Linked DNA regions of Drosophila melanogaster. The protein of the gene in region 1 interacts with the protein of each later gene in a pairwise test. Each region holds a gene or a part of one and is shown on either strand. Other genes may lie near its edges. The genes, in order: Su(var)205, Odj, moi and cav.

Region 1 (7,717 bases):
GCGCTTAACGTCAGCAGTTGTCAATCCAAATTCGATATCTTTAATTTATAACCTTAATTTTGATATATAATCAAAAGCGATTAAACACCTTTTCCTAGAATCTTTCACTGTGTCAATCTTTCCAGCATTTATATCCCCATTTCCTATTCATTGATCGAAAAAAAAACATTAAACACTGCTAAGTAGTGTAATTTTCTTTATTGCAAGTGATTAGATCAAAATTATATTGATTAGAGGCAGCAAGGGGTTGAGAAACAACCTTTACCTAGCTACCTTCTGCCTATTTTCGGTTCTTGCCTGCAGTGGTCGTTACTTTCGATAGGTGTGAAAACTGCTCGGCAACAGATTAAAGATTGAGGTGCACATGACGGGATCGTCACTCTGCAAAAGTTCCTGCTTTTCAGCAATCCTCGCATCGATCGCCTGGGCCACATATATGGGTATATCCGCGTTGGCAAACTCGCGTATAAACTGACGACAAACGCCGCAAGGAGTGGTGAATACATTAGGTTCGTAGGCCAAAACAGCACCTGCCAAAAATTCGGTGGCTCCTTCGCTTACGGCCTTAGCAATGGCCGTTCTCTCGGCACAAGAGCCCGGCGTAAAGGCGGCGTTTTCCACATTGCAGCCAGTGAAGATCTTTCCATCGACCTTGGCCCGAAAAGCAGCCCCAACTTTGAAGCCACTATATGGAACGTATGCCCGCTGGCGCACTTGAAAAGCAGCTGTCAGAAGTTCTTGAACCGACGGATCTGGAAGTCGAAACAATGCACGCCACGCTCAAGAATTAAACTTAGATCTTGTCAATGAGTGTAAGGAGTATTAATTTATAACATTATTATTTTTAATATCATAAGAACCACTTTGAATAATTGACAGTCGTAGATATTTAAGGATTGTTCTCAGATTGTTCTCAATCTCGAGAAGGAATCTTACCCAGACTGCCGAAGGTCACAACCTCCTCATTCTTTTCTGGACGTGCGAAATTTTTTGTCAGATGTGTCATTATAGTTCAATTCTTTTGGTCAATAGAGGCACGCCTATTTTCTTAAATTTTGAATTATTTTTAGCAAGTTGAGTGCGTGTGTTTCTCCTTTGAACGTCCGATGGCAAATGGACGGTTTGTGGTGACGGCGGCGCCCGAAGTTGGCTATGCTGATAGCACTCTCCGCCGTGTAGTGGTGACAGAAATAAACATTTGGCCAATTCGGAGCGCGAGAGAGAACCAGGTATCAGGCTGATAAGCAACGATCGCGATCGCGGAGAGCAGTGAAAAACACAAACAGATGCCGTATCTCGTATAAGCTATTCAATCAACAAATAACGAGGGGTGGGTTTACAGAACATTATAAATGGGATGTCACATAAACTATTGCACATGGATTGCACCCTGTCCGGCTGGGCTGGGCTGGGATATTCTTTTCTATTTTCCGTTGGCGAAGCTAAAGCCGTTGGGCAGCAGTTGGAGAACGCTGGTGCAGAGCACCCTCAATGGAAGATTGGTCGGCTTGGCGGCGTACAGGGGGATGTCCTTGCCGTTGACGAACTCCGAGAGGAACTGCCGGCAGACGCCACAAGGCGTGGTGAAGCCATTATCCTGCTGGGCCACCACTGCACAAGCCACAAAGTCGCGTTTGCCTTCACTGTAAAAATGTGTTATTTTAGTTATTCGAAAGGACTTGGAGAGGATAATTAAGTATGTAAGAATTTAAGTAATAGTGTTGTCATTACAGATTAACATTCCTCATTGCTGTCAAGGGTTATCTCAATATATTGAAATCTAAGTTTTTAATCCAAGATAAGCTTTACTGTGACTAACGCTTTACTTTCAGTATTTCCTGTGGATAGATCTCAAGCGATGCGTATGTGACCCAGAGAATATTGACCCACTGACCTGATGGCCTTGACGGCTGCAGTGCGCTCTGCACAAATGCAGGTGGCATACGCCCCGTTTTCGATGTTGCAACCGGAGTATATGGTGCCATCGCTGGTCCTCAGGGCGGCTCCTACGGCAAAGTTACTGTACGGACAATAAGCCTGTTTTCTGGCTTCCGTGGCTGCCAGGATGATCTCTTGAATCGAAGGATCTGCAGAAAGGACCACAAATTATAGTGACATGGCAATGTTTCACGACTTCGTACCCAGGCTCTGGAATTCCCGTACATTGAGATCGTCTCTGGCACCATTGATAAACACCTGTGTCATGGCCAAGCGATTGTTAATGAATATTTCACAATAGAAGTAGCAGCTCAGCCAATAAACACAGCACCAGTTCTCACTTCCAACGCAATGGCAACTGCTGCAACAGCTGTTCGCTGCAGGGGCGTACACAGAAGTAAAGTTTATGGGGCTCTAACATTGCTGTTCCACAAATGTAGAAACATATTTCCAAATACATACCTAAATAAAAAAAAGAATTTGTCAACTTTGCGGAGTTGAAAATTTCGTGTGACTACGTTTGTACGTGGTCTCTGGATCCCCCTTTCAGACGCCTCTGCCATACAGCAATGCTTTCCAACACTGTCAATCTCCATGTCAATAAATACTGAGGTAGATGTGAGTGAACTGCGACTGCTTTATTTTCTCCTTATCGTACAATTAAAGCCCAATTGGAATTGTTAGCGACTCGTTTCATGGGCATTACGGCCGGGAAGACCGTGAGTGACTGTTCTTGTGGCTTCCCCGCACAAATATCAACCTAATACAGTGTAATAATGTCGACAAACCCAAGTCCGCAGCGGCAACAGTCCGAGGACGTTCAGATCTCGATGGCCAGTTCCGGAGGAGGAGCCGGCAATGGCGTTCCGGATAGACTGCCTCCGATCAACGTAAAGGACCAACGCTTCCCCTACTGCATCGTTTGGACTCCCATTCCGGTTCTCACCTGGCTGATGCCCATGATCGGACATATGGGCATTTGCACTTCGTCCGGTGTGATTCGTGACTTCGCCGGCCCCTACTTCGTATCAGAGGACAACATGGCCTTTGGAAGACCCACCCGGTACATAAGGTTGCACCCCAAGCACATGGTGGGCGGCAGTTACGCCTGGGACGAGGCGGTCTCCAAAGCATCTGTGCTCTACGGCACCCGCATCCACAATATCTTCTGTGACAACTGCCACTCGCATGTGGCAACGGCACTCATCTACATGCGCTACTACGACAGCACCGCATGGAACATGATTATCCTCAGCATGTGGCTCTTTGTCTGCGGCCGCTACGTCGGAATAGGGGGTTTTATTAAGACCTGGCTGCCGTTTGCCATTCTCCTGTCCATCTTCACCATTCTGGGCATCTATTTTTAATATTCATATCTATATCAAATGCTATCAATGTACAAATCTATGTACATATGACGTCCAATAAAGGATTCATTCATTTATGTATATGTGTGCTTTTTGTAGTCCCACCACAAAGCAGATAAGGAAAATACCTATCAGGCAATTAAGTTGGTCATTCATTAATGCTTCAGCAACTGTGAAAATACAGATTTTCAATTACTAGTGTTTAAGATAACGTTTATTCAGTGGATATGTCTATAGTTAGTACATATGGCTACGACTTAGTTTGGCATGTGGATGAACTTCAATTAATTCTCGATCGCGCGGGTGACTTCTTCGGCCACTTCAAGGAGTTTCTTCCATTGAATTAAAGATAGGGAGATGCCCTTCTTGCCGGGAAGAATTTGGCCGCCCTTATCGTAGAACTCTCGAATGTCCACCGATTTGCGACCGCGGAACTCGTTGATTCGCACCTGGCGAAGTCCTTCCAGGGTCCAAGATGTAGCACCATTTTCGCCCGAATCTTTTGGATCTGAATTTGGAGCATCAGATTCCTTCGCCTTCTTGCTTGCCGGCTTGATACGCTGAAAGAGGTTTTAACTTGTTATACCTAGTTTTGGTGTATTTCTAGTTAACTTACATCATCTGGACCGCTATCGCTATCTGAGGACGAATCCTTCTTCTTTGTTTTGGGCATTTTTATAGAATTTCCGTAAAACAGAAGAAACAAAACGCAAATTGTCAAAAAATTCGTGAATATTCGCGCAACTTATTCAGTGCTGTGAAACGCGTCGATAATAGTTGTGGTACAACGGATTCCTTAATCGATTCATCGATTTATTACAAAATTTTTAAAAACAGATATTGGCGATCAGTTAGTTACGTTATTATTATAGTTATGTTGTAAAATTTAGATAGTTCTTAGTGTTAACATTTTTCTAGACTTAAAATGAAATTAATACGATGTGCAAATCTATCGGAAAATAGATAAGCGTAGTCTTAGCAGTCCACGCGTACTTTCGCACACTGTTCGGCCGGCGTCATTTTAGAACGCGCATTTTTTTGCAGATTTTTCATTTTGTGGAAAGTCTTCTAGCGCCAACACACAGGCTTATAAAAACCAATTTAGCTGCGTGCATAAAGTGTAGATCTTATTTAATCTAGGTGAGCCATGAAAGCAAAGAGAGTCGACTAAAAATCGTACTTTCCTTTCGTACTTTGCGTGTGTGTGCGGTTGTGTGCGGTTGTGCTAATTCTTTCCTTATTTTTTGTCGTGTGAAGTATTTTAATAAAAACAAAATGGGCAAGAAAATCGACAACCCTGAGAGCTCGGCAAAGGTTTCCGATGCCGAAGAGGAGGAGGAGGAGTACGCCGTGGAAAAGATCATCGACAGGCGGGTGCGCAAGGGAAAGGTGAGTTTTCCGAACCAGACGTCCCATTATATTTGGTCCTAAAACGCCATTTTCCACCTGCAGGTGGAGTACTATCTGAAATGGAAGGGCTATCCCGAAACTGAGAACACGTGGGAGCCGGAGAACAATCTCGACTGCCAGGATCTTATCCAGCAGTACGAGGCGAGCCGCAAGGATGAGGTAAGTGAAGTACAATGCGATGCCAAGTACAGTTGTGCTTGCTAGGATTTCCTTTACATCTCGTTTCGGTCCGTAGGAGAAGTCAGCCGCCTCCAAGAAGGATCGACCCAGCAGCAGCGCCAAGGCCAAGGAAACTCAAGGACGCGCCAGCAGTTCGACGTCCACAGCAAGCAAGCGAAAGTCCGAAGAACCAACAGGTAAGCTATGGAATTGAGTGTACCTACAAATATTTTCTGTACACAAATTGGTATAACAATAGTCATCACCTACAATATCCACTGGCATTTATTTGCCCTTTTCGTCAAAACTGTATTCACATATGTATCTCAAATTTTGTCCTTCGCAAGAATGGCATGCGCAAGAAAAAGATGGTCTTTGCAATAAAAAAATGCATCTATTAAAAAATTGCACTGTATTAATTACTTGTTTTTATTTTATTTATTTAGCGCCCTCTGGCAATAAATCAAAACGTACCACAGATGCGGAGCAGGACACCATTCCCGTTTCAGGATCTACCGGATTCGATCGCGGCCTGGAGGCCGAAAAGATCTTGGGTGCCTCCGACAATAATGGCCGCCTGACATTCCTCATTCAGTTCAAAGGCGTGGACCAAGCAGAAATGGTGCCCTCCTCAGTGGCCAATGAAAAAATCCCACGAATGGTAATCCACTTCTACGAAGAGCGCCTATCCTGGTACTCTGATAATGAAGATTAAACAGTTGGATCATCGAAAGCGAAAAAGAACGATTATACATTTAACGAAAAATTACCCACTTAGAATTATAGCTCCTTGCAGGCGCTTTCAAAACCACCCAACCAACTCTTAAGGCATCGGACTTTTTTCCATAAATGTCCAGAGTCAGTGTCTGTATTTATGATAACCATTTTCAATAAATAAAAAAAACCTTTATTCTGCTGGAGCCTATATAAGTAACTTTTATTTGCGACTTGTTGCTCAACGGTCAGGATATGACGCGCATATGCTGACCATATGGTAATAAGGAGAATTCAATTGGTAATTCCAGAGGTCGAAAGGGATTTTGTAGCCTTAGCAATCTGAGATTATTGTGTGCACATTGTAAATGGACTGTCGGGTCTGTTGGAATGCATGTATTTTGCAGGTAGAAAAACGTTTATTTTGAAGTATCCTTGTTGTCTATCTGCGCGTGCGTATAAACTACAAGATCTTTGAAATTTCACAAGATGAACAAACAAAATGGCGAAACCTGGCTATATGTTAATTTATTCGTTTTATAGCCCTGCATCCTAATCAATTACTTAAGAATTAAGCAGTTTGTTGGCCACATTGCATTCCGAGTTCTCAAGGACATTTCCACAGCAGGACCAATGACGTCTCCCTGGATGTCCAGCATGTCCATGACCGCAGCCACTATATCCAGGCATATGACCCTCACACGAGCACATCACGTTCCGGTTGCCCTTTCCGGAACAGAAGGAGCAGCAGTGGTAGATGCCCGTATGCGGACGAACCTGTCGCGCTTGAAAAGTGAAAGGACCTCCCTTGATGGGCCGGTCGTTAATGGTGATCGTGAGAATCAACGTGCCCTGGGCATCCGGGGTGAAGGATATGTTGTAGGTGCCATCACGATTGTCCGACACCTCAACGGGTAGAAACTTGGAACTGGAGTCCTTGTACTTCAGCATGCAGTTGATCTCCAGGCCACCGTGGCAGAGGGAAACCCCGTCGGCATCTCTAGAGTGAAGCAGAAGATCCGCTTTTTTGTGGAGGCGCAGCTGTGAAAATCCCTCCCACTCAAGGGTGCATAGACTAGGCTCCACTACCTGCATGGTGATGATGCCATATAGAGGGATATCGCGCTGGTCCTTTGTCGACGGAGCACGGATTTTTGGTAGGAAGTGAAGCGAGTCGGATATCTGGGTAAAATGGTTTACTTTATAAAACAATAAAACAAGCAATTTGGTAACCTACCTTGGGATCCACAGGCGGCTTAAATTGCTGACAGTACTCCAAACGCCTTAGAAGTATAGTCACATAACTCAGAATCTCTACATCAGCACCAATCTCGCACAGCTCTTGGCTAAATCTAACCGCATCCATGGCCTGCTGAGTGCGTTTCTCTACAGGACTACGTCAGATAACTAGAGCTTTAACCAAATGAAATATGTCTTACCCAAATCAAGTTGCTGCTTGAGCACTACCTCCACTTTGGACTCCCTAGCTCTGCTGATTTGCTGGAGCAGAGTCTTGCGATGGACTGTCAGGGCATCCATGTACTGCTGCATGTACCGCTCCACTTGAGTCTGGATGTCGTCACACCGGTCGTTGATTCCACGTGCTATGGCATTCAACCTCTCAATGGAGTGCTCCGCATATTGACAGAGGGGACGAGTTTGATCCGTAGCTTCTTTGAGTAGTTTACCCTGATGTCCAATTGCCCGGGATATGGTCTCATGTCGATGGCCTTTATGAAGGATCACCAAACAGTCGGTGCATGCCAGTTGACGGCAGTTGGTGCAAAATGCCTTCAGCTCAAAGTTGGTATGGATTCCGCATCGTAGCACTAGTTTGCTACTATCTCCCAATCCCATCTGCTGTTGCTTTTGCTTCCTGGCGCGTCTAAGTTCCAGGATGCTTCTCATTCGATGGCTAGCGGTGCTCCTTTGCCTTTCGTGTGCCTCCTTGCACAAGGTGCAGAGGTTTAAAGTGCAGCTAATGCAGTGGTAGGTGGCCTGGAAAAGATTATACGCTTTTAGACAGCCTTCAAATCACTTAATGACTTCGTCCTCCTTACGCTAATCTCCTCTGTGCAAAGAGAACACCAGACCCTGGAGATTACATCCTCCCCAGCCTGTAGTCGCAA
Region 2 (7,985 bases), on another chromosome or scaffold:
CCAAATGCTGCCATACGGAAAGAGAATGAAAAAGAGCGCAAAAGGGCAACGGCAGAGCGAAAACTTCTGCAGCGCCATAAAAAGTCGGACTGAAATCAAAAATCAAGAGTGGAAACTTGCGGGCCAACCCCAGGAAAATACAGCCACCCACCAAAAACCACCCAACCATCCGAGCAGCAGTGCAACCACCACCCCGCGTTCACCGCCCACCGTTTGGGGGTGGCCCGCTGGCTTGGCTATCTGCCTTCTGCGAAGGACGTAGGACGCAGGAGCAGAAGGACGATGCGCGGAGCGTATCGCGTCTGGATCAGAAATTGCAGACGAGCATAATGGGATAAACTACGTGGAGCACACTCACAGCTGGGTTCAGAATAATACAATATCTATATCATGCGGAAAATCATATTCAAAAGCAATAAATCTGGATCGGCATATTTGTTTGATAGCTATAAGTCAAATAAGTAAATTTCTATAATTGTTTACTTCCTTAATGGGAAATTCTTAATATTAAAAGTAGCTGTTAAGATTATCATACTTCAGTCTTTGTGATCTTTAAGAGCAATTACATACAATAATAGTATCTTTGACATTCCTTTGACATTTGCAAATAATATCTTTAAGGATATTTGATGGCCTTAAAGGTTATAGTATCCTCTTTATTGCTTATTCATACGCGTATAAAAATCTGTAAACGATATTAATATTTCTACCGCATCTGTACACCTAGTTATAATCTCAGACAGCCGGGTGACAAATTTGACGATGGCACTAGAGAGGAAAAATACTACGCGCATAAAAATGCATAAATGGAGAACAAAGCCAGCAGGAGCTCGGGAAATTGTAGTATGTGGTGTACGAAATTTGCATTTCCACTTCATCGAAATTCGATGGCTCGAAATACCCCCACACACAGACACAGATACACACACACGCGGACAACGATAGAGCCACCCACACATTGACATCCAGACAGGCGCCAACTGGAGGGTGGAAAGCCGGCTTGTTGTGCCGGCGAAAATGCGTAAAATAACGGCAGTTGGAGTGCTTTTCCTGATTTTACTCACCGGCAATTCTCCCGTTTAAGCAGTCATAAACTTTGTTTCAATTATTTGTTTTTCATCACCAACTAGTATATTTAATAATATTTCCTCTACCTGAGCATTAGTTGCTGCGAAAATTGTAGCACAGCTTTGTGGGTAAACACTCACACACACCGACGCACTGTCGCGCACACACACACACTGAGCTTGAAGTCCCGCTAGAAAAGTGCCGCACTCACGAGCCGCGACGTTACGTCCATACGAATCCGAATTTGAATGGAGAATTCAGTTTGAGCGGTGTGGTGTGACCAGTCACGTTTACTGCAATTAAGATCATACATACGCAAAGCAGGTACGGTCACTCGGCAACTGTTAAGTTATTTCCCTGTTAACCGCACTCATTTTATTTTACAGTACTGTTAAGAAATGTAAATGCAATGTTAGAGAAAAAATGTAGCTTAAAATTATGCTATTTTATCACTTCATACTTTGAAATCTAAACAGTATATATATTCGCTCATATAAATCTAAGAATTCTGATTACTCATCTTAAAAAATTAAATGAAATAGAATAGATGGATAAAATGATAAAATACCCAAATTTTTAAAACAGGTAGTAAATAAATGTTGAAATGAACCACCCTAACATAGCGCCATAATAGCAGAGTTCCGAGGCATTTTGCAGCGGCTGAGTACGGTCCCACTATTCCACAGGATTCAACCGAATCACAAACAAAACGCGCAATTCCCTTTGATCGCAGATAAAGCGCTTATTTTTCTTGCCCAGCGATGGCGGAAGTGCTGCCCAAGAAGCGCAACGCCTGCGTCATCGTGCTGGGCGACATTGGACGCAGTCCGCGCATGCAGTACCATGCCCAGAGTCTTCTCGAGGAGAACTACCACGTGGACATGATTGGGTATCTGGAGACGAGGCCGCTGGAGGAACTGACTCAACATCCACGTTGCCGAATCCACGAGCTAACTGCCGTCCCAGTGACGAACCTAACACCCAAACTGCGCCTGCTCTTCAAGGCCTTTTGGCAGACGCTCAGTCTGCTGATGGCTCTCATCTCCATTGGCCGTCCCAGCTTCCTACTCGTCCAGAATCCGCCCGGCATTCCCACGCTGATTGTGTGCTATCTGTACTGTGCGGTCACACGAACCAAGCTGGCCATCGATTGGCACAACTACACGTACACAGTGCTGGCATTGGGAATGTCGAAGGGAGAGCAGAGTCCTCTAATACGATTGGTTAGGCGACTGGAGCGATACTTCGGCTCCAAGGCACACACACACTTCTGTGTGACGCGGGCCATGCAAGAGGATCTGCAGCAAAACTGGGGCATTGGGTAAGTCCTCATCACATCCATCTAAACGAAGTAAATAACTCAGCCGCGACTCATCTTTCAGGCCTGTCAAAGTTCTGTATGATCGTGCGCCCGCGCAATTCCATCCCATCGACTTGACTCACAAGCACGAGCTGTACCTGAAGCTGGCCAAAGACTACCCACAGTTCCAGGCCAAGGACGCCGAACAATCCGATGTTCTGGAGGCCACCGCTCTTACCCAAAAGCTGGCCAGCGGTGTTGTGCAGTACAGACCACAGCGACAAGCCGTGCTGGTTTCCAGCACCAGTTGGACGCCGGACGAGGACTTCGGTATACTGCTTAAGGCTTTGCAAGCTTACGAGGAGACTGCGCAAGCAGAGCCGTTGGTTTATCCTTCCCTGCTGTGTATCATCACCGGAAAGGGGCCACAAAAGGAGCACTATGTGGCGGAGATCGAGAAGCTGCAATGGCAGAAGGTGTCGGTGATCACGCCCTGGCTAGAGATCGAGGACTACCCCACTGTTCTGGCCAGCGCCGACCTGGGCGTGTGTCTGCACTGGAGCACCAGTGGGCTCGACCTGCCCATGAAGGTGGTCGACATGTTCGGCAGCGGGCTGCCTGTCTGCGCCTACGATTTCAAGTGGTAACTAATCCTGCCATTTACTATTATTACTTACTAACTTCTACAAATGGCTCTTTAGCCTGGATGAGCTGGTGAAGCACGGCGAGAATGGCTTCGTGTTTGGCGACCATGTTCAGCTGGCCGAGCAGCTGAGGATTTGGTTCGAAAATTTTCCAAAGAATCCCAGCATCCTGGAGACAAGAGCTGGTTTTCAGCGCAAAATCCAGGAGTTCCAGGAGCTGCGATGGCGGGAGAGTTGGCGCCTGATCGCGGCCCCCGTACTGGAGGCATTTCTATAGAGCATTTTGACAAAGATTTGACAATTACACGTTATGAGAGACTTCCTTTGATTGCTAATCGCTTTTTCTAGGCTAGTTACTACAAATTCTGTACACAAAAGAGCTTCAAACTTGCTTATGATGCTTATTTTATTTTTATAATCGTAGCCTAAAGATAAAAATAAATTGCTAAAAAAAGGAGATATATACAACTATTTATTCGCTTGTAAAGCGTGTTTTCTTAGGAGTATTATGTATTTCAATTAAAAAAGAAAATTCACGGGATGCAGTGCCGATTTTTTTTTATTTGAACACCAATATCGATAGTCTGAAATAAACATCGATATATCGGAAAATTTTAAAAACATCAATGTTTGACACCTCTAGTTGCGGACAACGGTCACACTTCAAAACCAAACCGGCTGCGCAAAAATTACTATAATTTGTAATTAAAATTAATCAATTTTATTTAGTTTCGAAAGAATGAGCACCGAGTGTCGGATCTGCGGCGAGCGCATCTTCACGCCGCACCCAAAGAACATCTTCGAGAAGCGCAATCATCGCATTCGGATGGCCATCGAGCAAATCACGGGCTTAGAGGTGGCGTCCCTTTTATTTGTTGTCCGGAATTATTCATAATCTATGCATTTCCAGATCGTTTTAGAGAATATGCTGCCCCAGCACATATGCGCTTGTTGTCTCCTGGACCTGACCCAAGCCGTAGCCTTCAGGCAGCGATGCCTGGAGACGCACGCAAATCTCCACCAGAGGATCTCCTCGAAGGCGGGTGTCGCCTCAAAAGGCTCCCCGGAGGTTTCGCCAGTGCTTAGTGATCCGCTGCTGAAACGGGAGGTGCTGGATGATACAGTAGACACCGAGGACGATAAGGAGCTACTGGACGATGATAAGGATTTAATGGATGATGATAAGGATTTCTTGGAGGACGAAAAGCCGATTTTAAGATATCCTCCGGCCAAAAAAATCCGGATCGAGGACCAAAATTTCCCGAACAGACAGTCCCCACGAGTCAGGGTCAAGCGGCTTCGTGTGCCTGTGGTCGAGAAGGCAGATAGTCCACCGCCACCTCCGCGGGAGCACGTCCGAAAGCCCAGAAAGCGGCGACCAAAACCCAAGGTCGATCGCTCGATAAAGCGATACGTGTGCGACCAGTGCGGTTGGTCGTTCAACGATCACAGCAACATGAAGGATCACAAGCTGCGGCACTTCGAGGAGAAGTTTTCATGCGACGAGTGCGGTCGCAAGTTCTACACCATGCCACTGCTCCGATTGCACATTCGAGTCCATCACAAGGGCGAGAAACCGTACGTCTGCAAGTTCTGCGGTATGGGATTCGCCAATAGTCCCAGCCGCTGTCGTCATGAACGGTGAGTGCTGGCCTAATCATCACAAGTCCTTATCTATATAAACCATAAAAACCTTGACAGTCAAATGCATGCCAACGAGCTGGTGCACCCGTGCAAAATATGCGGCAAACGATTCAACAGCGAGAAGGGACGGCTGAAGCACGAGGAGGGGCACAAGAGTGACCAACCGGATGTCCATATGTAAGAATCATTGAAATATACGTAGCCATAGATGTACAAACTCATATTCTTTCACAGCTGCCTCACATGCAACAAGGAGTTCAAGGAGGCGCAGTTTTTGCATCGGCACTACTCCACAAAGTATCACCGCAAGCGGGTCAACTTGCTGGTTAATGGTCCAAAAGAGGAATTCCAGTCTGAAGTCGATCCGGCGGAGTTTCCGGGATATATGGAAGAGGGGCAGGCAGAAATGGAGGACAACCAGGCTGAACTGGACGTAATGTTAGATAACATTGACGAGGAACAATATGAGGACCACGAGGTACTTCAGGATGAGGACGCAAATTTTGAGGACTTCGAGTACGAGGAAGCCATTCCCGATGGAGAGGAGCTGTACACCTAACTTTAAGCACACAAAAAAAATCGACTGTTGGCGCCACACACTCCACACTCCACACGCCACAATGCCAGGGATGCAAACTATCTGACTTTTTCGGTGGTTCAGAGAAATCCTTTGAATCACCAGCCAGCCGTACGATTAGCACCAGTGTGGAAGGAATTCAACGTCGGTCTTAGATTACAATTTGTTATAAAATATATTTTATTCTAATTGCACAGCGCGCTTATTTTAATAAAAATTATATGGAACCAATTTCAAAAACGTCAGGAATTAGCCGAACGTGTGTTTTAGCTTGAACCTCTCTTTTTGGGAAAATTTAACCTCCCGTTTATAATATATAAATTTTAAATTATAAAAACTAGCTCGATGTTCCCTGGTTTCTAGGAAATAAGAACAGTTAGTTTTTCCACACCTATCTGGTAACGCCATGAAACAGGTAATTCATACAAATTTTGCTGCTTAGAGAGAGTAAACAGAAATTCTCGGATTGCGTACGCTCTTTTACCGTTTTTATTCCATAATTGACAACATAAAATCAATTAAACTACAGCTGATTGTTTTGGGAATTCAGCGGGATAAATGATCATATGTTTGAAATGAAAAAGCCTTCGCAATGCCATTTGTGCGCCTCGTGTTTCTGTCACCTGAATCCCACGATAATTTTTTGCCTGGAAGTTCTGGCCAAGATCAAGGATCTCACTGGAATATGGGTATGTTGATGGTTTCTTGTGTGCGTGAATGGCATAACCCATTTACTCCATTTACAGTTAGAACAGAATGAACGCCAGCCGCGTCATATTTGCCCATCTTGTTTAAATGACTTGAACACATCGATTAAGTTAAAGAAGCGCATTCAACGAGTTCACAATGAAGCAACGCTGAGGCGGGAATCTGGGCTTGATGAGGATCTAGAAAGCACTGTATCCGATATAGAGCCAGAAGGGGATTCCAGTGACTTGGAATCGGAGGAATCATATGATTCAGAAAACTATCCATTTGACAAAAAAGCAGAGGAATCCGATATTGATTTAAATCTCGCCCATGAGGATAGGAGAAACGAACCACATAATCCTTATGATTCGGAAACCCCCTTAATATTTAAGCATAAAAATCCATTAATTGAGACTCCTTCATTTGCAAATGAAAACTTGCCTAACAAAGTCGATGCAAAAAGCCCAAAAAAGGGAAACTTTATACAAATTGGAACCGATCTGAGACTACTTACAACGTATCCCTCTATTAAGGTAGTAAAGCCCCTTGCATTAGCTCCAGAAGATGTGGCAGCTGAGAATGTACCCCCTGCAAAAAGGACAGCTCGGAAAATGCAATCCCTGGTGTGCCCTAAGTGCGGAAGGGTCTTTAAGACTCCATACAACCTAAAGACGCATATGGTGCGCCACACGGGTGAGAAGAACTTTCCATGCACGTTCTGCGACAAGCGGTTCGTCACCAAGTATCTGGCTCGTCTACACGAACGAGTGCGCCACATGGGCGAACAGCCGTTTGAGTGCAACTTCTGCTCGGCAACGTTTTTCACAAGTACAGCTAAGTCGAGCCATGAGCGGTAAGTCCTTACTGCAATTGTATTTAACTTTAAAAGCGCTGACATAAACAATTTCCTAACACTATGACAGAATACGGCACATCAGAGATCTGAGGTACCAATGCGACCAGTGCACCAAGAGATTCAATACCAAGACCTGCTTGAATAAGCACAAGTTCCTGCACTCAGGTCTTAAGCCCTTTGAGTAAGTGAAATGATATGAAATTTGCGCATATTTAATACAAGTCGTGTATTTCCCTCTCAGCTGCGTTATTTGCCAAATCAACTTTGCCCGAAAGGCAACGCTAAGGAGTCACTTCGATTCGGTTGCTCACCAGAAAAGAGCCAGCGCCATCCTGGAATCCGAAGAGCATTGATTCGCCAAAGAATTAGAGATCGTTTTTAATTCCGTCTTATAAGATGCGGGATATGTAGATGAAAGCACGACTTGGATAATTCTGAGGCTCAGGATATCTATTAGACATAAATGTTTGAACGTATTCTCACTGTTTTGGCACTGGATTGCCCTTCGTTTGCTATAACTTTTTTGTATTACATTTTTGTCATTTGCTTTTCCTATTATGAAGTAGTTTCTTTAAGAGTGTAATATTTGGACAGCCATTCATTTCGAAATGTTAAATACCTTACTATTTAATTAATCGTTTTCATTTAAAAACAGAAAACTTATGTATAATATATATTTTTAATTCTTTTTTTGAAGTGGTAAATATATTTGGTAATTCCTATTTGCCACGAAAAGCAAATGCTTGGAGTATATTCCATAACGACCCTTGAATAAAAGGCGCCATTTTCAAATTTTGGCGCCACCGCTTGGCAGTCACCCAGAGACGCGGACAACAACAACAGTTCGCTGCGAATGGCCCAAAATGAAGCAGCAGCTGTTAATAAAGCAAGGAATTTTGGCTCGAAAAATAACTCTTAAAAATGACGCCACAATGCCGGTTGTGTGGAGATTTAATATACACGCAAAATCCAGTTAACATATTCGATGAGAACAGCAAAATGGTCAGGCAAATCGCATTGGTCACGGGCCTTTGGGTGAGTGTGTAAATTAAATTGGCAAATTTAAACCGCTAATGCTCGTTTGGTTTTCAAGCTCACCGACCACTCGAAGATGCCCCGGAATATGTGCTCCTGCTGCCTGCTGAGCCTGAAGAGCGCCATTGCCTTCCGGCAAGCCTGCATCAAGACCAACAATCGACTGACAAT
Region 3 (8,289 bases), on another chromosome or scaffold:
AGGACGCAGCCACTTGTCGCTCGACGAGATGAGCTGTGAACACGTGCTTGCTTTCCAATAAAATATATTTCTATATATTTTCAGCGAGATGCCAGTCGTTTTATAGGCCGCCCAGTCAGGTTATTGAAATTGTTGGCATTGTCAACCCCGCATTAAAGCGGCAATTACATGTATCTAATAAAGGATAACAGCGCTACTGACTTAAAAACCAAAGTGGATAAACCGGATCCGGAAGGGGGCTTAGATTTAAGTAGCTGATAATGACAAAGTTGACGCGTGACGGCCAATTGCACGGTATTTTAATAACAATCCGAACAATAAAAGTCAGTTTTAATCACCGGCAACGAGCTTACTTTGCAATTTGCATTAGAAATGGTGTATTATAGTACTTATGGCAACGTATTCCTTTTTTATTATTCCTTTTTTTTGTCATTATGTCATTATTATATTATTATACCATAAACTCAGCAAGTGGCAGTTTGAGGGAGATCGACCAAAAAGACGAAACTCTTTTCGAAGCCCCGCATCTAGCGTGGTTTAATGGGCGTGGCCATCTTCTCCTACTCAATCTTAATTTTCTTGCTTTTATAGATTCCAAGAGCTCGGCGTTCATATGGACAGCCGGAAAGACATACGGATTTGGCCATATCCACTGGGCTAATGATCCTGATCTAGAATATATCAACTTTACGGAGTCGGAAACGCTTCCTTCTGCCTGTTACATAGTTTTCAACGAATATAGTATACCATTTTACTCTACGTGTAACGGGTATAAAAAGGTAACAAATAGTTGCATAATTCTTTCTGAAATATATATGTATTAGGAAAGGCATAAAAGGATGCTCATTACTTTTAGTAAAATGTCTTATAGAGCAAATTGGTTTATATTTATTTTTTAACGTATCTAAACAAAAACTTTTTTAACATCATTTCTGATATCATTAACTATATCAACTCTATATATTTATACTACAACTATATACTATATACTATGTACAACTATATCACTGATATCAACTATAAGTTCTGGCCTGAACTCATACGCCAAATTTTACGTATCATATGTAAATCTATTAAAGCCCACAACATTAAACTTTACATTTAACTTAAATTTAACTTTGTATACAATTAAAAACTATAATATTCAGAATATTCGCCTTACTCTTGTCAAAATATTGCCATTTTCCAACCAACTTCCCACTAAAATCCGTCGTTCGCAAGGCAGCCCACAAATCAGCGCCGGAAAGAATGCTCCAAATTTCGCTCGAGCTGCTCCGACGCACACTAATAAGTTAATCAAACTAATTGCAGTGGAAAGGAGCAGCCACTTGCCGCAACTGGTTGGGGCGCGGGGTTGGGGGATAATGGAGGAAGGGGTAAATATCTCTGTTGCCAGTTGGCAGCTATAAATTCCGCACATGCCCCGCCCACCGCCCACTGGCCACACCACAAGCCCCTTCAAGCGAACGCACCCCATCCGAAAGAGCTAAGTAAGCTGTAAGCCATGAAAAGGGTTGTTGCTTCTGGTTCCGGCTCATCGTCTGCCGTCTGCTGTGGAATGCCGAAGGAACTGCTGCCTGCGCCGCGAGACGAGCATGTTAATTGCCCCCGAACCGACGTTGCCAGGTTCAGCAGGATGCGGCTGGCTGCCTGTGTTCCATGGCTTTTGGGCCAAGTCACAACTTGTGGCACAAAGTTCTTAAAAATTGACGCACGCTTTGTTTCCTTTTGCGTTTTAATTAAAAGTCCAATGCCAGTTGCAAGAAGGGATTGCGGAACGTTATGGTTATGACCATTGACCATTGGCCAGTTGAGCTTTGTTAAGCCATCTAAATTGGCTAAAGAGCTTGGACTCTTTGGCATCGCCGGTCACTTGGCAACAATCACTGCACTGAAGGGATGGGTGAAAAGATTTTACTCTTGCGTTACATGTGAGGCGGCTTTATTCATTAGTCAACTTTTCTCCTATCTTTCTATGTGGCAAAAAGAGGGAAAAACTTAAGGCGATAAACAATGAACAAAAAAGTTGTTGACCATAGCCAACATTTTCCTTTGATCCATAATTACAGGAATTTGTGAACTCTGTGTGCTTATATGCTTCGAGTTTAATTAAAGATACTTACCAAATCATTTGTATTACATATTAGTTAAAATGCCTTTCATAGATTTATTTTCATATTATGTTATTGGCTCGTTTTGAATATGATTTATATCTAATAATAAGCAAAAAATGCCATGAAATTATGAGCCCGTTTTTTTTTTTAAATCCATTCAACTATACATATGTATGAAATTAAATATATTTATTTATATAAAAACAATGATGTTATTAAAATTACTCTCAATCGAATCCTACTCATCTTCTCCCACTGAACCCTTTATGATTCCTTTACCATAATAAGCAGTGAGCGCAACCATTCGGGTGTCCAGATAGTTGTGCTCCACCTCGCACTGCTGCCCAACTCCACTTAGAGCGACCACCTGCTTCATATTGGCGTTGCGTGGCAGAAAGAAAGCTACGTCAGATGCCAGGCTACGGGACAGCTGCATCAGTTGGCTAGCACCCACGGGCAGGAGACCTGTTTCGATATCAAAGGTGGCCTGCTTTTGGTAGTCAGGACCACCCCACGGAGGGCTCAGGAAAACCACATTTGGGCGCAGCTTTGTGCTGGCCGCAAACTGCAGAAAATCGGCGTGGATAAACTCGATCTTATGGGCCACACCATAAATGCCGGCATTATGCTTGGCCATGGCCAACTTCTCGGCATCGATGTCCACAGCAATTACGCGTCCACAGGTGTTTGCAAACTGAATGGCATTGCCGCCGCATCCACAGAAAGCATCTACGATCACGTCGCAGGCCAGTCGTCGGGCCGTTTGTTTGGCAATCTTCTCGGGTGTCACCGAGAACCAGCTCTCGCGGTCCAGCCGAATGCCCTGATCGAAGCGGGAGAACAGCGAGAATCGCTTGACCCAGTACTTGACCATTTTGTTGTTATCCTCTTGCATGCACTCTGGCATCCTGGCCTTGAGTTTTTTTATTTGCCTTTGCCGTCGTTTTTTCTTTTTAACAGAACCGCTCTGAACGCCGTGCAGAGCCTCGTTTTCGTTGTTCTCCATGGTCAACAGATCATGATCGTCCTCGCTATCGCTGCTAGATAGTTCGTACTGTGTCTTTCTTTCCTTTCTATAATTAATTATATCTGCCTTCGACGCAAATGATGTTGGCAATCCGAGAAGGCGCAGCTGTTGTTCCTCGTCACAATCCTCGGGATCGTCGTTGGCAGTCAAGTATGATTCGTCCTCCTCTTTCTCTGTGACCCTTTGCTGTTTCGATTTTATTGGCTTATTTGTAAGGCTTAGGTTCTGCAAGTCCTCCTCAACATCTTCTGAGTTTTCAGCGACGTCAAGGCCAAATGATTTGGCCAAATCGTGTTGGTAGTTCTCAAAGGCACAGCTAAATATATACCAGAACTTTTCACTGTAATCGCTGGCGTGCTTCTCCCACAGTTCCTGCCAAAGGCCTTGCTCCTCCGACGAAACCACCTCGATAAGATCTTTGTATTCGGGAAACCGCTTGTGCCACTTTTGCTCGAGCAGCTCATGCCCCTCACGCTGCCAGAATTCTTTCCAGGTAACGTTTTGAATGCCCCCCCAATTGCAATTATTCCAGTCGAAATCGTTACCAAAGAGCTGACTGAATATATAGAACTGCGGATTGGTTCGCGAGGTGGTCAGGTGGTGTGTGTTCATTTCTCGATCAGACTTCTCATCTCCAGCCTGCGAGTCAGCAAGTCCTCGGCTCTGTCGATGACCTGGATGTACCATAAGTCGATGGCCGGTCTGTAGGTGGCAAGTAGCGCGCTGAGATACTGTTTTTGGGCCAACGGATCGTTGGACAGACTATTGATCTTGTCGTAGACACCGCCGGCGGTCAGTTTGGCACCTTTGGGATGCTGCACATTATGTAGCACCACTTCACCACGCACAATGCAGTAGCGGCCGGTACTCACGCGATTTTCGACGACTTTGTCATGGGTAAGGCCAAGAATAAGCAAGGATACGGTGCCCTCGCCCAAGGAGTACTTCCTGAAAGATGCAGCATCATTGGTAAGGACCGGATGGATAGGTAATATAGAAAAACTTACTTTGGCAAACACTTAACGCGCACGTTTTCTAGGCGGTACTGATTCGCCTTGAACGCCAGACGTCCAATTAATGCGCACTGACCGTAGTGCAGGTTGTGGTAGGAAGTTTCCAGCTCCAGTTCCTCCACCAGCAGGGTCTTGAAGAAGTAGCAGTACTTGGGCGCTCTCGAGGTAGAGGCTTCTGGCACCAGGGACATAACTCTCTTGGAAAAAAACCAAGAATTCCGAACAAAATCAAAACACCCGGAATGATAAACTCAACATGCTTGCTAGTGTGACCAACGTATCTACGCACGATGCGACCCACCTATCGATAGCTTCTTCGCCAGTTATAGCCCTGCCTTTCTCATCACTAAAAACAGCGACATTTTATTGTGCAAATTAGAATTTCTTAATATAAACTTTAACAAACTGAGCAGTTCTTAGCTCACTATGTCTTTTATGAACCCCGTGGATATGGTGGATGAGGACGCCGCCGACCTGCAGTTTCCCAAAGGTAACCAACGCCCTACACCAACCGAAATGCAACTTACAAGTGAAACTGGCTGAAACCTTTGGCTTCGAGTGCCCCAAAAGTGGCACTCCTCCACATTTTTACCACACTGAATTGCCTCTTTGCAGTTGAGCCACTGGGGCCACAGGTTAAGCGGTTCATCCATGCACATCAGAATGAACACACCAGGAACTCCATGGTTTTGTATAATCCGCACACGTTGCACAGGTACTTGGAGGAGATGGAGGAAAAGACGCGGGACCAGAATAGCAGTGTTCCATCGGCTACAAAGGATGCCAATCGGTGTGCCACATGTCGCTGCAGTCTCACAGAGCCGTACATTAAGTGCTCCGAGTGCCTCGACACCCTGCTCTGCCTGCAATGTTTCTCACGTGGAAAGGAGGCCTTTTCTCACCGCAATAACCACGCTTACATCATAGTCCGCGACAACATACAGGTTTTCGCCGATGAGCCACACTGGACGGCACGGGACGAGCGCATACTGCTGAAAACACTTCGCACCCACGGCTATGGCAACTGGGAGGCGGTCTCCCAGGCTCTGGACCAGCGCCACGAACCCGCAGAAGTGCGTCGTCACTACCACGATTGCTACTTTGGCGGGATATTCGAGCGGCTCCTTAATCTGAAGCATGCGAGGGACAGCTATGTGCCCGAGCGAATGCCGTATGTCTTCAAAATGCGCAGCTTGGATCCACCACGTCATGACGACATCGCCTCCATGCAGTTCAGACTAAGCGCAGGTTACCGCTGTGCAAGAGGAGACTTCGATACTCCGTACGACACCTCAGCAGAGAGTCTGCTATCTATTATGGTGGATCATAGGGGCAGGGATGACGACAACGAGGCGTCTGAGAGTGAGTTTGAGCGCGAAGTGACAGAGGAATTGCAACTCGGACTAGTTCGGGCATACAACAATCGCCTCAGGTATGATCTTATAACAGAAAGCTACTAAAAAAAATCTAATATGCATATTTACTCACAGAGAGCGCCAGCGTCGTTACAAGATAATGAGGCAACACGGTCTCATAATGCCCAATCGCACCGTCAGCTGGATTTCCAAGTACGTGCACGCCTTTGGCAGCGATGCGAGTTGCATGCGTTTCTTGGGCTTCATGCAGATCTGTCCTGACCCCATTAAGTTCGATATGCTGTTGGAGTCTCTGCGTTATTATCGGGAGCTGCATAGCCAGCTGCACAAGCTATACGATCTGCGGGAGCACGGCGTTCGAACTCTTTCCGGAGCCAAATTATATGCCCGCTTGAGCAAAGAACGTCAGCAGGCTCAGCGAGATTACAGCAGGCTGAAGCAAACAGATGCTTTCGACTGGCAGCAATTGGTGCAGCATTACGAGAGCAACAGGAGCGGTGATCCTGGTCCCCTGGCCATTAACTCAAAGTTATATGTGATGAACACGCGTCGAAAGGCCAGTCCCATTGAGATTGGAGGTGGGAAACACTTTACTCATTGCCTGACACCAACTGAATATAATTTTTCTTTGATCCCAGATCTGCCTGGTTACTCCAAACTGGATGATGGCGAGCGAAAGTTGTGCAGTGTGGCTCGTCTGGTTCCGCAGTCGTATTTGGACTACAAGAATCAACTCGTTACGGAGCAAGCAAAGCTCGGATATCTACGACTGGCCGATGCGCGACGTCTCATCAAAATTGACGTGAACAAAACGCGTCAGATCTACGATTTTCTGCTGGAACATGGCCATATCAGCAGACCACCGTCCTATGGCTAGGGCTAATTTTTTCTCCAATGTTTCACTTGTAAATTTCCTGAATGTCGTCAAGTAACTAATTCAAGAAAAAAAAACCCTTTCGTTTCTCTTTGTTTCAGAGTTCGAAAATGCCGAGACGCTGCTGATATCGGAGGTGCACATGCTTCTCGATCACCGAAAGCGACAAAACGAATCCGCCGACGAGGAGCAAGAGTTCTCCGAGGTCTTCATGAAGACGTACGCCTACACGGATAGTTTTCGAAAGTTCAAAAACAAGGAGACCATAATGTCTGCGCGAAGGTAATGTAGCAAAACCGAACAAAGCACGTACGAGTAGTAATATTCAATTATTTCAAATTCAGCTTGCTGATGCAGAAAAAGCTGCACAAATTCGAACTGGCGGCACTGGGTAATTTGTGTCCGGAGGCGCCCGAGGAGGCCAAGGCGCTGATTCCTTCACTAGAGGGTCGCTTCGAGGATGAGGAGCTGCGCCAAATACTCGACGATATCGGCACTAAACGCAGCTTACAATACTAATTACTACTACGTATAAATATAGTTTAGATATAAAGTCATGGTCCACTTACACAATAAAGTGAAGAACAGCAAGAATTTTAAGTAAATGCAGAATATACACTGTAACAAAAATCAACAAAGTCTAAATACAATGTAATTATATCAAACAAAAGATTTACTTAAAAAAAAGTATATATAAATTGAATTTGCCGCTTGAAAGAATTGTTTGTCTAGTGTTGCCAGACTGCTCACATGAAAGAACTTATCGAAATAGCCGTCACATCTGGCAACTTGCTGAAAGGCCCGCACTTGCAATTGTTTTCTTTTTCCTAATAATTGCAAGCGAACAATATTTCACAATGAACAAGGACAACTCCAGCATGAAAATGGATCCGCAGCTAGCCCTACGCCTCCTGGCTGATGGCGGAGTGCTGGTCATCGCCGGTGTACCCGAGGGCACGGAATTCGGCATTGATCTTTGTGCCTACACCATTGGTCCGGATTTCCGAGGCGTCAAGATGATTCCACCCGGAGTCCACTACGTATGGTGCTCCTCCCGTGGTCCCTACGGCGATGCAGCCCCTCGTGTTGGATTCGTGCACTTCTTCCATCCGAATGAGATTGTCGTACGAGAGTGGGACCACGAACTGGAGGAATTGCGCCCGCGGAGGATTGCCGAACCGGAAGTGGAGCGAGACCGAATACGCAAAAACCTAGCCCAACTGGAGCGCGTGCTGGCGCCGTACGACTATCGTTACGTGGTCCAGTGGAAGGAACTCACCGGCAGCGTGACGGAGTCTTGCGTGGATCGCTGCCGTCCGACAGAAGGAACCATCCGTACGAACATCGAACTGCAATCCTGCCCGGACGCAGATCGGCCGCGAGGTGGAGCCGCTACTGTCAGCATAAGCCGCCGGAATGCTGCAGCTCGGATTCTCTTAGATGAGAGCGAACTCCTACCGGACCTTAAGCCCGTGGAAGGAACAGCTCCGCGCTTCACTACCGTACCCCTGCGTGTTCCACAAGATGCCCTGCCCGCTGATGTTTCCCGCCATGCCTTGGACTGCATCGATGCTGTTGACAAACTGCTCGAAGGCTTTGAAACGGCCGATGGACTCATTGAGGAACTGCAGCTGGCTTACGCATTTTTCCTAGTGGGCTACTCTGTGGAGTCTCTGGCCCACTGGCGCAAGCTTTTGGGCTTGCTGGCTCACTCGCAAACGGCGGTCACCAAGCACAAGTTAACGTACATGAAATACAGCGAGGTTTTGGCCCACCAGCTGCCCCATCTGCCCGAGGAGCTGATGGTGCCTGGTCCGCATAACACCGTCTACAAAGATGTACGCGAACTGCTGGTCAATCTGCATGCGGGCGGCTTAAGTGTCAG
Region 4 (7,884 bases), on another chromosome or scaffold:
GCATGCGCGACGCTCGCGAACGGGTTTCCAGCTGAAGAGAGACTGAGGAGCAGAGTGGAGCTAGTGCGTCCGCCTCGTAGCCAAGCGAGCGGCAGACTGAAGTCAGCTGCTAACGCGATCGACAGCGAAGCCCGGCTAACAGTAAAAGCCGTTAAGACAAGTCTCTCTCTCTCTCTTTCTCTTTCTCTCTCTGTCTCTTACGTTCCACATTGGGTCCACACGAACACTCTGACGCTCAGCCACCGGCTCTCTTTTTTGGGCCAACTTGCATCGGAGAGCAGCATCTCTTGGCTTTTGCATGTCGAGGTCGTGCAGTTCTTTTGGCCAAGTCCGCCAATTGTTGTAATTGTTGCATTCAATTAGACATTTTTAATTGATGCGCGGGCATTATGTTTTTTGGCATTAATGGGCAGCCGTGAGTTTGAACTTTAATTATGGCTTTGGCAACAGGTTTTATGACCTATCCTGGTGCGGAAAAACATTAGCTAACAAACTGCGTTTGAAAATGGACGAATAAATATATATTTCTGCTGTTACAACCCTACTATATATAAATACATCGAAATCGTTTTTGATCCCCAAAAACAAAATTTTCCAACATGCCCTAAACTTCCTAATAAATATATATTTTGAGCAGTTACATAAAGAATTTTTGCTGATAACACATGGAAAGATTATCTCCTACTTTAAGCTTCCTTTTTTTTATCAATAAAATCCCATCAAGCCCAGTAAGATAGTTAAAATACCCTTGAGTCCGTAGTTTCTTCGAAAACTTTCTCTTTTCGGAAGCCTTTTTTCGCGTGCTTTCCTTTTTACCCCAAACATGCACACACGCAGCCAGACACACACCTGGTCAGGAGCTGCTCACGCACCGGGCGCGCGCACACACATACTCAGGGATTTAGATAGACATGGGGGGGACTCACATGACAAGTTGTCCAGCATGTAGGTGAGCAGTTTCTGCGTGCCGTTCGGTTCGTTGTAGATGTTCATGAACTCCTTTTGCAGCGGATTGCCCATGAGGCCGAGTATGACGAGGTGGAACAGCTTGCCGATCTCGTAAGGCAGTACGCGCAGAAAGTTGTTGTTCAGCAACAGCTCCCTAAAAGGAGGCAAGACAATGGAGTGGCTTAGTGAAAAGCATGGATCAGTGATCAATAGGGTCTGCGCCCAGACAGCGATTTCACAATAGATCAACTGCTAAGGGTGCAATAGAGTATGAGACATAATAATAGGACTAAAATACGATTTAACAACGTAAATCATGTCCTATGCCAACCCACAAACTCACCGCAACTGGATGAGCTCGCCGAGCTCTGCGGGAAGACTTCTTAGCTTATTGCTGGACAGGTCCAAAGTTCGGAGGCTGGTCAGCATGCCAACGTCTGCGGGCAATCGCAGCAGCTGGTTGTCGTTCAGGTAGAGGGCGGTTAGATGCTCAAATTCCCACAGCGACGGGCTGATATTGCGGACGCAGCCTGTAAACAGATGTATGGTAGAATTAATATGATATTTTTCGGGATTAAGTGTGTGATACCCACCAGTAATCTCTAGGCCACTCCAGTTCGTCTTCTTGCCCGCAGCTATGTCCTCCTGCGACAGAAAGATCTGCTGCCGCCGATTGGCGCTGTCGTATTTGTCTTTGTTACGAGACATTTTATAATGATTGCCTGTTCGGTATATATAGAAGAGAGTTATATTAATATATGTATAAGGTAAGAGATAACAAGTTAAAATCTGGAATTGTTTCAAGGAAGTTAGGGCTCATGTTAGGAGACAAAACCTCGCTTAGCAACAAAAATGAATGCTTTGAGTTTTAGCTTAAATGTATCTAGGAGTATTGGAATCAAATCATAACCTTTCATAATAACCGCCTGATGATAAGCGTCTCTGCAAAATATTAATAAAGTGGTTTCCATTATTATTTTGTATTAGTAAACAAAGGTGGGTCTGAGGTCCGGGTTTGGTTTACATATACAGCTAAGGTAAAACTAATAGCAGTTCTTAAACATTATTAATTAAAATTTAAGTACAAGGTAAAAGGTCGATATGGAAAATACCGCCAAACTCAATAGTTGGAGGATTTTAGGAAAAATCTTTATATTTTATTAATAAATAGCATTGGATATGTATTTTGGAACGTTGTCTATGCACCTTTTTTTAAAGATACACATATTAGGCTTTAAAGAACTGCTATTGGCTTTCGCACAGCTGCGGATGGTAAATTGTAAATCATAAATAAATGCAAACGAAAATGATTTTGGTAAGCGCGCGCAAAGTGCAAGCACCAACACACACGCACACACACGGACGCGTAGCACACACAGAAACACTATACAGTTAGAAAGAAGAATGGCGTGGGCGGGCAAAACAAGAAGAAGAAGGAAAGCCGTATGTCGCATATTGAAAATCGTGGGTATCAGGAACCTGTGTAGGATTACCTGGCTCAGTTCACTATTCCTAGGAAGTCACCTCAATCGGAAATTCTGGCTCAAATTTACTCGCCGTCTCTCCTCGTTTCGCGCGCTCTTTTCGCTCTCCGCCTGCACTTACTCGAGGATTTTGAAAGAAAAAGGAAGCCGCAGCTGGGGATTCAGCAATATTCGATATTCACTGTGAAATTTAACCGACTTCTACCGTTTTTGGTGCCTTTATTTGGGTCCTATATTTGTTATTTTATTATTTTGCTGCTTTTCGTTCGTGTTTGTCGGAACAGAAGCGACGATTCTGCTAATCAACCTATTCGTTTTGGATCGCTCTTTCTTCTGCTGGGCCTCTGCTTTTCATTTATTTATCACGCGACTCGCTTTCATCGTCGGTTCTTGTTTTTGTATACATGGTGAGCAGTCGGAGTTGCCACTCGGTTTTATCAGCGGACGGTATCACGGCAAGATTTGTCCAAAATGCGTGCTTATTCGTCCAACTGAAGTCCGGCCTAGTGTTCTGATAAAGTGTGAGACAACGTTTGTTTGTAAAAAGAACTACTCAAATGGGATTTCAGTCAAAACAAAACAAGAGCACATCACACACAAGACGCACACATACACACAAGACGCACACGCACACAGATGGTCAAAGAGGTGCAGGGCTGAAAATAAAAACACGTAGATATTTCGTACTGTTTGCTTTACTAGCCACTTTTTTCGGTCAATGCTTTTTGCTGAGGACTCGGCTTTCGACGCGATATATTTTATGTAGTTTAGATCTCTGGATGGACGATTTATTTGTGAATTTATGCTGCTGCTACTATGTGTAAACTTTCGTTCTTCGCTTTCCTTCGTTTTCCATTTCTCTTTTGTGCGCTGGTTTGGCGTACGCGGAAATGCCCACTTGCTGTTAATCGGCTATCGGAAAGAATTTGCAAGCAGGGGCTCCAACTAGCGTATTGAGAAAGTAGCTATATTTTGTATGACAGTTAAGACCCCTGTTTTTTGAATTGATATTTTTTATAGGATTGAAATCAGGAGCTTTGAATTATTAATTTGTAAAATAAAATGAGTTTATTTTGACAGCAAACGAAAATACTTAGCTAGAATCGAGCTAAACCATTAAAATCTGTAAATACTGACTAATCGATAACCTTACAGAGTTTCGATAGATCCATTAGCCGCGAATGCCCTTAAAAAGTTGTAATTTATTTAATTTAATGTTGCGTGTTTTTAAAAAAAGGTTAATATGTCGGGGACGCAAATGTCTGCCTTCCTGAGAAAGTATCTAGCCGACGAGGACAAAAAAATTCGTGCGCAATTCAAAGAAAGCGATCCTAACAACAAATTGATTCTATGGATGCACGAAAAAACGGTAAGACGCATTTCATTTTGTAAATTGAAATTGTATATTGTATAGTATCCTGTATTTGAAGAGAATAACCGAGGAGGACTTGGCACGCCCATACACCGAGGACGAGGTAAAGGAGCTTTGTCTACGCACCAAAGTGAAGGTTGATATGACCGCTTGGAATTGTCTGTGGGAAGCCAAAAAGAGGTTTGAAGCAAAAGGACGTTTTGTGAACAAGTCTGAGAGATTCATCAACCGAATGTATATGAAAGCGGTGCGCAGAAAGATGGTCCAACCGTATCCGGAGGAGTTTGTGGCCCAGCGAAGAGAAATAGTTGCAGCCGAGACTAAGAAGCAGAACATCAGCCGATTGGATAGATGGCAAAAGAAAAAGAGTCAAAACCTATCAGCACCAGAATCCTCTCCAGACGCTCATGCATCTTCTAATGACGCGGTGCAGAGCCACGAGGACCAAGCAAACACAAATCTTAGTTCACTGTCTCAAATGAACTTTCAAGTGGAAGCGATGGCTCCGCCAGGCGTGTCGTCATCTGATCTTAGCGGCATCGGAGACGATGAGGACGAACAGCAGCAGTCAGGATTTCAGGATGAGAACATCAACCGTCCAGAGACAGAGATTAATGAGAATTCGGTGAGATGTGATCCAATTAATTTAGGAAGGATGCGGACTGGATGTATAAATTCGCAAGCAAATAACAGTTTCCGGAATACGGAGTCTGATCCGGACTACTATATGTTTGGCACCCAATTGAGCACATTAGTACGACCCACGTCGACTCAAGAGCCTGACGATCAGGTAAACTGTCCAGAGACAGAGATGAATGAGAGCTGGGTAAGGTGTGATCAAATTAATTCGGAAAGCTTGTCGATTGGACCGTCAATTGATTCGGAAGGAACTATCACTTTTCAAAATACAGAATCTGAGCCGATCGACGTCACCTCAATAGCCTGATGTCCATATATTAAACTATATAAAGTTCTTCATTTATTGGTGTTAATTAATTAAAAACATGTAATCCCTAAAAATGTTATAAAATGTATAATAAAAATCTTAATTAAAATACGATGGTCGATTAAGCTATGTACACTAATCTAGGATGATCCGCAACCGGAGCTGTACAAGAAGGGTAAACATTTAAAATGCTCGCTTTTACATAATTACGCTATGTACAATTTATATATTGCTAAACCATGGTCCCATGGGGCGCGGCAGGGGGCGGTGGGTGCTACGGGAAGTGGTCAAACAAGAACTGTTCCATGAACAGCGACTCCGAATGCTAGTTGGACGAATTGTCGCCAGGCTCACTGACCGCAATTGTCATCTTCACTTCATCGCCACTGTCTAGTTCTGGATCCTCGTCATCCTCCTCATCCTCGCAATCATCCATATCGTCCTCGTCGAGCTCCTCGTCTTCGTCGTCCTCTTCGGTCAATTCATCATCCTCCTCGTCGTCCTCATCATCGCCGAAACTATCACCCCCGCCGCTGGCCTCCACAGTCGGCAGCTGAACGATCGTGGCCCCGCCCGGCGTCACAGTTGAGCCTGCAACCGTGGCCGCCACACTGGAGGCTCCACTGCCCGCCGCCGCTGAACCGCCGCCCGGAATCTCAATCGTCACAATGCCGTTCACCGTGCTAATGCTTTTCGGTGCATTGCCACCCTTGGTCTCCTGCTTGATGCTCAGCTCAATTAGCTCCACGCCAGAGCGGCTCTTAAAGTGCGTCTTGATGTGCTTCGACAGGTGATCGCTGCGCATGAACTTTTTGTTGCACTCCTGGCACTGGAAACGCTTCTCTCCCGTGTGCGTTCGTCGGTGGCGCTGCAGTTCATCGGAGCGGGTGAAGCGCTTGCCGCAAAACGCCCAGGAGCAGACAAATGGTCGCTCGCCAGTATGCCAACGCAGGTGAGCCCTTAGATGGGAAGTTTTCCCGTATACCTTATGGCAGCCGGTTATATGGCATATATGCTGGCGCTTCTTGTCCGAGTGTTTTTCGCCATCTGTACAATTGGGACAGGTGCAGGCTACTCGCTTTAAGCGTGGTTTGGGCTCTCCAGTCGCTGTTCCACCGCCGCCGCCAGTTGCAGCACCTCCGACGCTGGCCACACTTATGTTCATATTGAGATGGCTTTGTGACGGCGTTGTTATAGTCGTCGTGCTGGTGTTCGTGCTCCTTATGCTGGCAGTTGCTCCCCTAGCCTGCGTCGTGACGGACACCACTTGGCCACCAGTCGGCGCAATTGTAATCTGGGTGCTTGACGTGGTCACAGCGTTGACCTTACTTCTTGCAGGTAACGATACGGGAATTGGTTGGGTTGTGGCTGGGGTATTCGGTGTATTCGTCGCTTGCTGTGGCAGGGCTGTGATCTGAATGGAGGCTGGTATGCTCAGGCTGGACAGGGAATTGCTTTCCGTATGCAGGAACTTGATCTGCTGCTGTTGCGGTGAGGCTGTGTTTGGAGTAGAGGCAGGTGCCGGAGGATTACCAGTTGCGGAAATGGGTCCAAAGGTATCCGGCGGCTCTTGCTTGATGCTGGTGATCATTTGCGTTGGACTCTGCGGCTCCTGCTTGGGCATCACCTGAACTTGGCCCTGAGTTTGCACTTGAGGATGCGACATGGGTAGTTGGGTTAGTACTTGCTGGAAGTTGGCTGGCAGATTAGGAGGCAGCTGATTGGCGTGAATGATTTGCACTTGACCCAGGCCTGGGATGTTCTGGATGGGTAAAGCCTGAAGATTGGGCATCTGCATTGGTGTGGGCACACCAGCTGGAGCAGGAGTGGGTGCGGTAGGCGCATTTGGGCGTAGTTGGGCGGGAATCACGGTCAGCTGTTGGCCCTGGGCATTGGTAATGGTGATGGGCTGATTGGGCGGCAGTTGTCCCCCCGCCGAGGCATCGCTGATCGCCTGAAGGAGCTGCTGGTGCTGCGCCTGGACCTGTTGTTGTTGCTGCTGCTGTGCCTGTTGCTGTTGCGCTTGCTGCTGCTGTTGCGCCTGCTGCTGCTGTTGTTGTTGTTGTACTTGTTGTTGCTGCTGCTGGTGGGGATTCTGGATATGTATAATGTTGGCATTCGGAGGCAGCTGAGGATACGGCATTGCCAGTTGCACCTGCTGAATCTGACCGTTGGGCGTAACAATCTGGGCTATCTGTGAGAACTGCGGGATGATTTGCATCTGCGAGGCGGAGGGCATCTGCAGGGATTGCGCCTGCATCAGGTTTTGCAGTCCGCCGCTCGATGTTGCCGCTGCCTGGACGGGCACATGTACAGTCTGGTAGATGGTCTGTCCGTTAGCAGTCTGAACGGGAATCTGCACAGCAACCGTTTGTTGCTGCTGCGGCATGGCTGGCGCCGGAAACTGCACCAGTTGCGGCCGCATCTGCAATTGGCCGTTCTCCAACTTTATAGATTGCCCGCCGCCTAGTAAATTGGAGATATTGGAGATGTTTCCCAGCAATCCATTCGCCGCCGCTACCGAGGTTGGTATCTGCAGGTTTGTGCCCGGTATGGTGATGCTGCCCGGCAGCTGACCCGCTGTCCCACTATTGGTAACTCCCGATCCATTGGCTCCAGATGCATTTGTTCCTTGTGCCTGCTGTTGCACTGTACCCTGGTGCACTTGTTGTGCCTGCTGTTGTTGCTGAATGAGATTGGTGACGGGTATTTGAATGTTGGTGCCGGGTATGGTGATCAGCTGGGTTTGCTCCTGGCCCAAGCCGTTCAGCTGTTGCAGCTGAATGCAGTTAGAGGCTGCCGGATTAGCTGCCATCTGGGGAGCCCGCAGAATTTGACCGTTGGGCGTGATAAAGGCCTGTTGCCCGTTGAAGTTGACCGCCTGAGCGGTGGCCAGTTGTGCATTGAGGTTTGGTATGAAGATGGCCTCCTGGCCATCAATGTTCACCGTTTGCATGGGCATGGGCTGTACGATCTGGAACATGTTTTGGGGCATGCCAGCGTTCTGTCCGTTCCCGGCAACCGCTCCGCCTGCAAACTGAGGAGGCATTTGGTGAATGTTGATGATCTGCTGCATGGTTGGTGTCCCGGGAGCACCGTGAACCTGCGTTTGTGAAGCTGCTGCACTAGCTCCA

The links.
Region 2: the proteins of Su(var)205 (region 1) and Odj interact in a two-hybrid assay, tested with the Drosophila melanogaster proteins (3 studies listed by BioGRID).
Region 3: the proteins of Su(var)205 (region 1) and moi interact in binary tests that used the Drosophila melanogaster proteins (3 or more experiments, as listed by UniProt).
Region 4: the proteins of Su(var)205 (region 1) and cav interact in binary tests that used the Drosophila melanogaster proteins (3 or more experiments, as listed by UniProt).

Annotation. Positions count from the first base shown.
Region 1 is NT_033779.5:8,207,707-8,215,423, reverse strand, and holds Su(var)205 (suppressor of variegation 205), read left to right. Parts: upstream 1-4,301; 5' UTR 4,302-4,580; coding exon 4,581-4,694; intron 4,695-4,757; coding exon 4,758-4,874; intron 4,875-4,950; coding exon 4,951-5,071; intron 5,072-5,320; coding exon 5,321-5,589; 3' UTR 5,590-5,798; downstream 5,799-7,717. Other genes in the region: CG8353 (uncharacterized protein), read right to left, coding at 310-752, 937-1,006; CG8360 (uncharacterized protein), read right to left, coding at 1,424-1,643, 1,895-2,087, 2,142-2,205; CG8372 (uncharacterized protein), read left to right, coding at 2,715-3,305; Ssb-c31a (single stranded-binding protein c31A), read right to left, coding at 3,590-3,865, 3,922-3,978; CG8419 (uncharacterized protein), read right to left, coding at 6,153-6,770, 6,826-6,974, 7,028-7,586, 7,649-7,717. UniProt on the Drosophila melanogaster protein: Structural component of heterochromatin, involved in gene repression and the modification of position-effect-variegation. Recognizes and binds histone H3 tails methylated at 'Lys-9', leading to epigenetic repression.
Region 2 is NT_033777.3:17,804,884-17,812,868, reverse strand, and holds Odj (oddjob), read left to right. Parts: upstream 1-3,646; 5' UTR 3,647-3,751; coding exon 3,752-3,868; intron 3,869-3,922; coding exon 3,923-4,653; intron 4,654-4,713; coding exon 4,714-4,833; intron 4,834-4,890; coding exon 4,891-5,215; 3' UTR 5,216-5,462; downstream 5,463-7,985. Other genes in the region: Alg1 (ALG1, chitobiosyldiphosphodolichol beta-mannosyltransferase), read left to right, coding at 1,830-2,389, 2,451-3,011, 3,070-3,289; CG17801 (uncharacterized protein), read left to right, coding at 5,800-5,922, 5,980-6,776, 6,847-6,960, 7,021-7,132; Nnk (nicknack), read left to right, coding at 7,701-7,814, 7,873-7,985.
Region 3 is NT_033777.3:18,251,672-18,259,960, reverse strand, and holds moi (modigliani), read right to left. Parts: upstream 4,432-8,289; 5' UTR 4,346-4,431; coding exon 4,149-4,345; intron 4,090-4,148; coding exon 3,750-4,089; coding exon of another isoform or gene 2,353-3,749; 3' UTR 2,284-2,352; downstream 1-2,283. Other genes in the region: Tgs1 (trimethylguanosine synthase 1), read right to left, coding at 2,353-3,753; Ada2a (transcriptional adaptor 2a), read left to right, coding at 4,581-4,644, 4,725-5,586, 5,645-6,407; Polr2D (RNA polymerase II subunit D), read left to right, coding at 4,581-4,644, 6,506-6,686, 6,749-6,923; CG12320 (uncharacterized protein), read left to right, coding at 7,262-8,289. UniProt on the Drosophila melanogaster protein: Part of the MTV complex that associates with the HipHop-HOAP complex to form the terminin telomere-capping complex involved in telomere maintenance and prevention of telomere fusion. Potentially functions downstream of mei-41/ATR.
Region 4 is NT_033777.3:24,218,674-24,226,557, forward strand, and holds cav (caravaggio), read left to right. Parts: upstream 1-2,857; 5' UTR 2,858-3,068; coding exon of another isoform or gene 3,069-3,080; 5' UTR 3,081-3,234; coding exon 3,235-3,252; exon of another isoform or gene 3,253-3,292; intron 3,293-3,568; exon of another isoform or gene 3,569-3,669; coding exon 3,670-3,801; intron 3,802-3,862; coding exon 3,863-4,750; 3' UTR 4,751-4,855; downstream 4,856-7,884. Other genes in the region: twin, read right to left, coding at 927-1,102, 1,292-1,478, 1,542-1,670, 1,859-1,890, 2,155-2,174; Spps (Sp1-like factor for pairing sensitive-silencing), read right to left, coding at 5,076-7,884. UniProt on the Drosophila melanogaster protein: Part of the HipHop-HOAP complex that recruits the MTV complex to form the terminin telomere-capping complex, which binds to chromosome ends in a sequence-independent manner and prevents telomere fusion.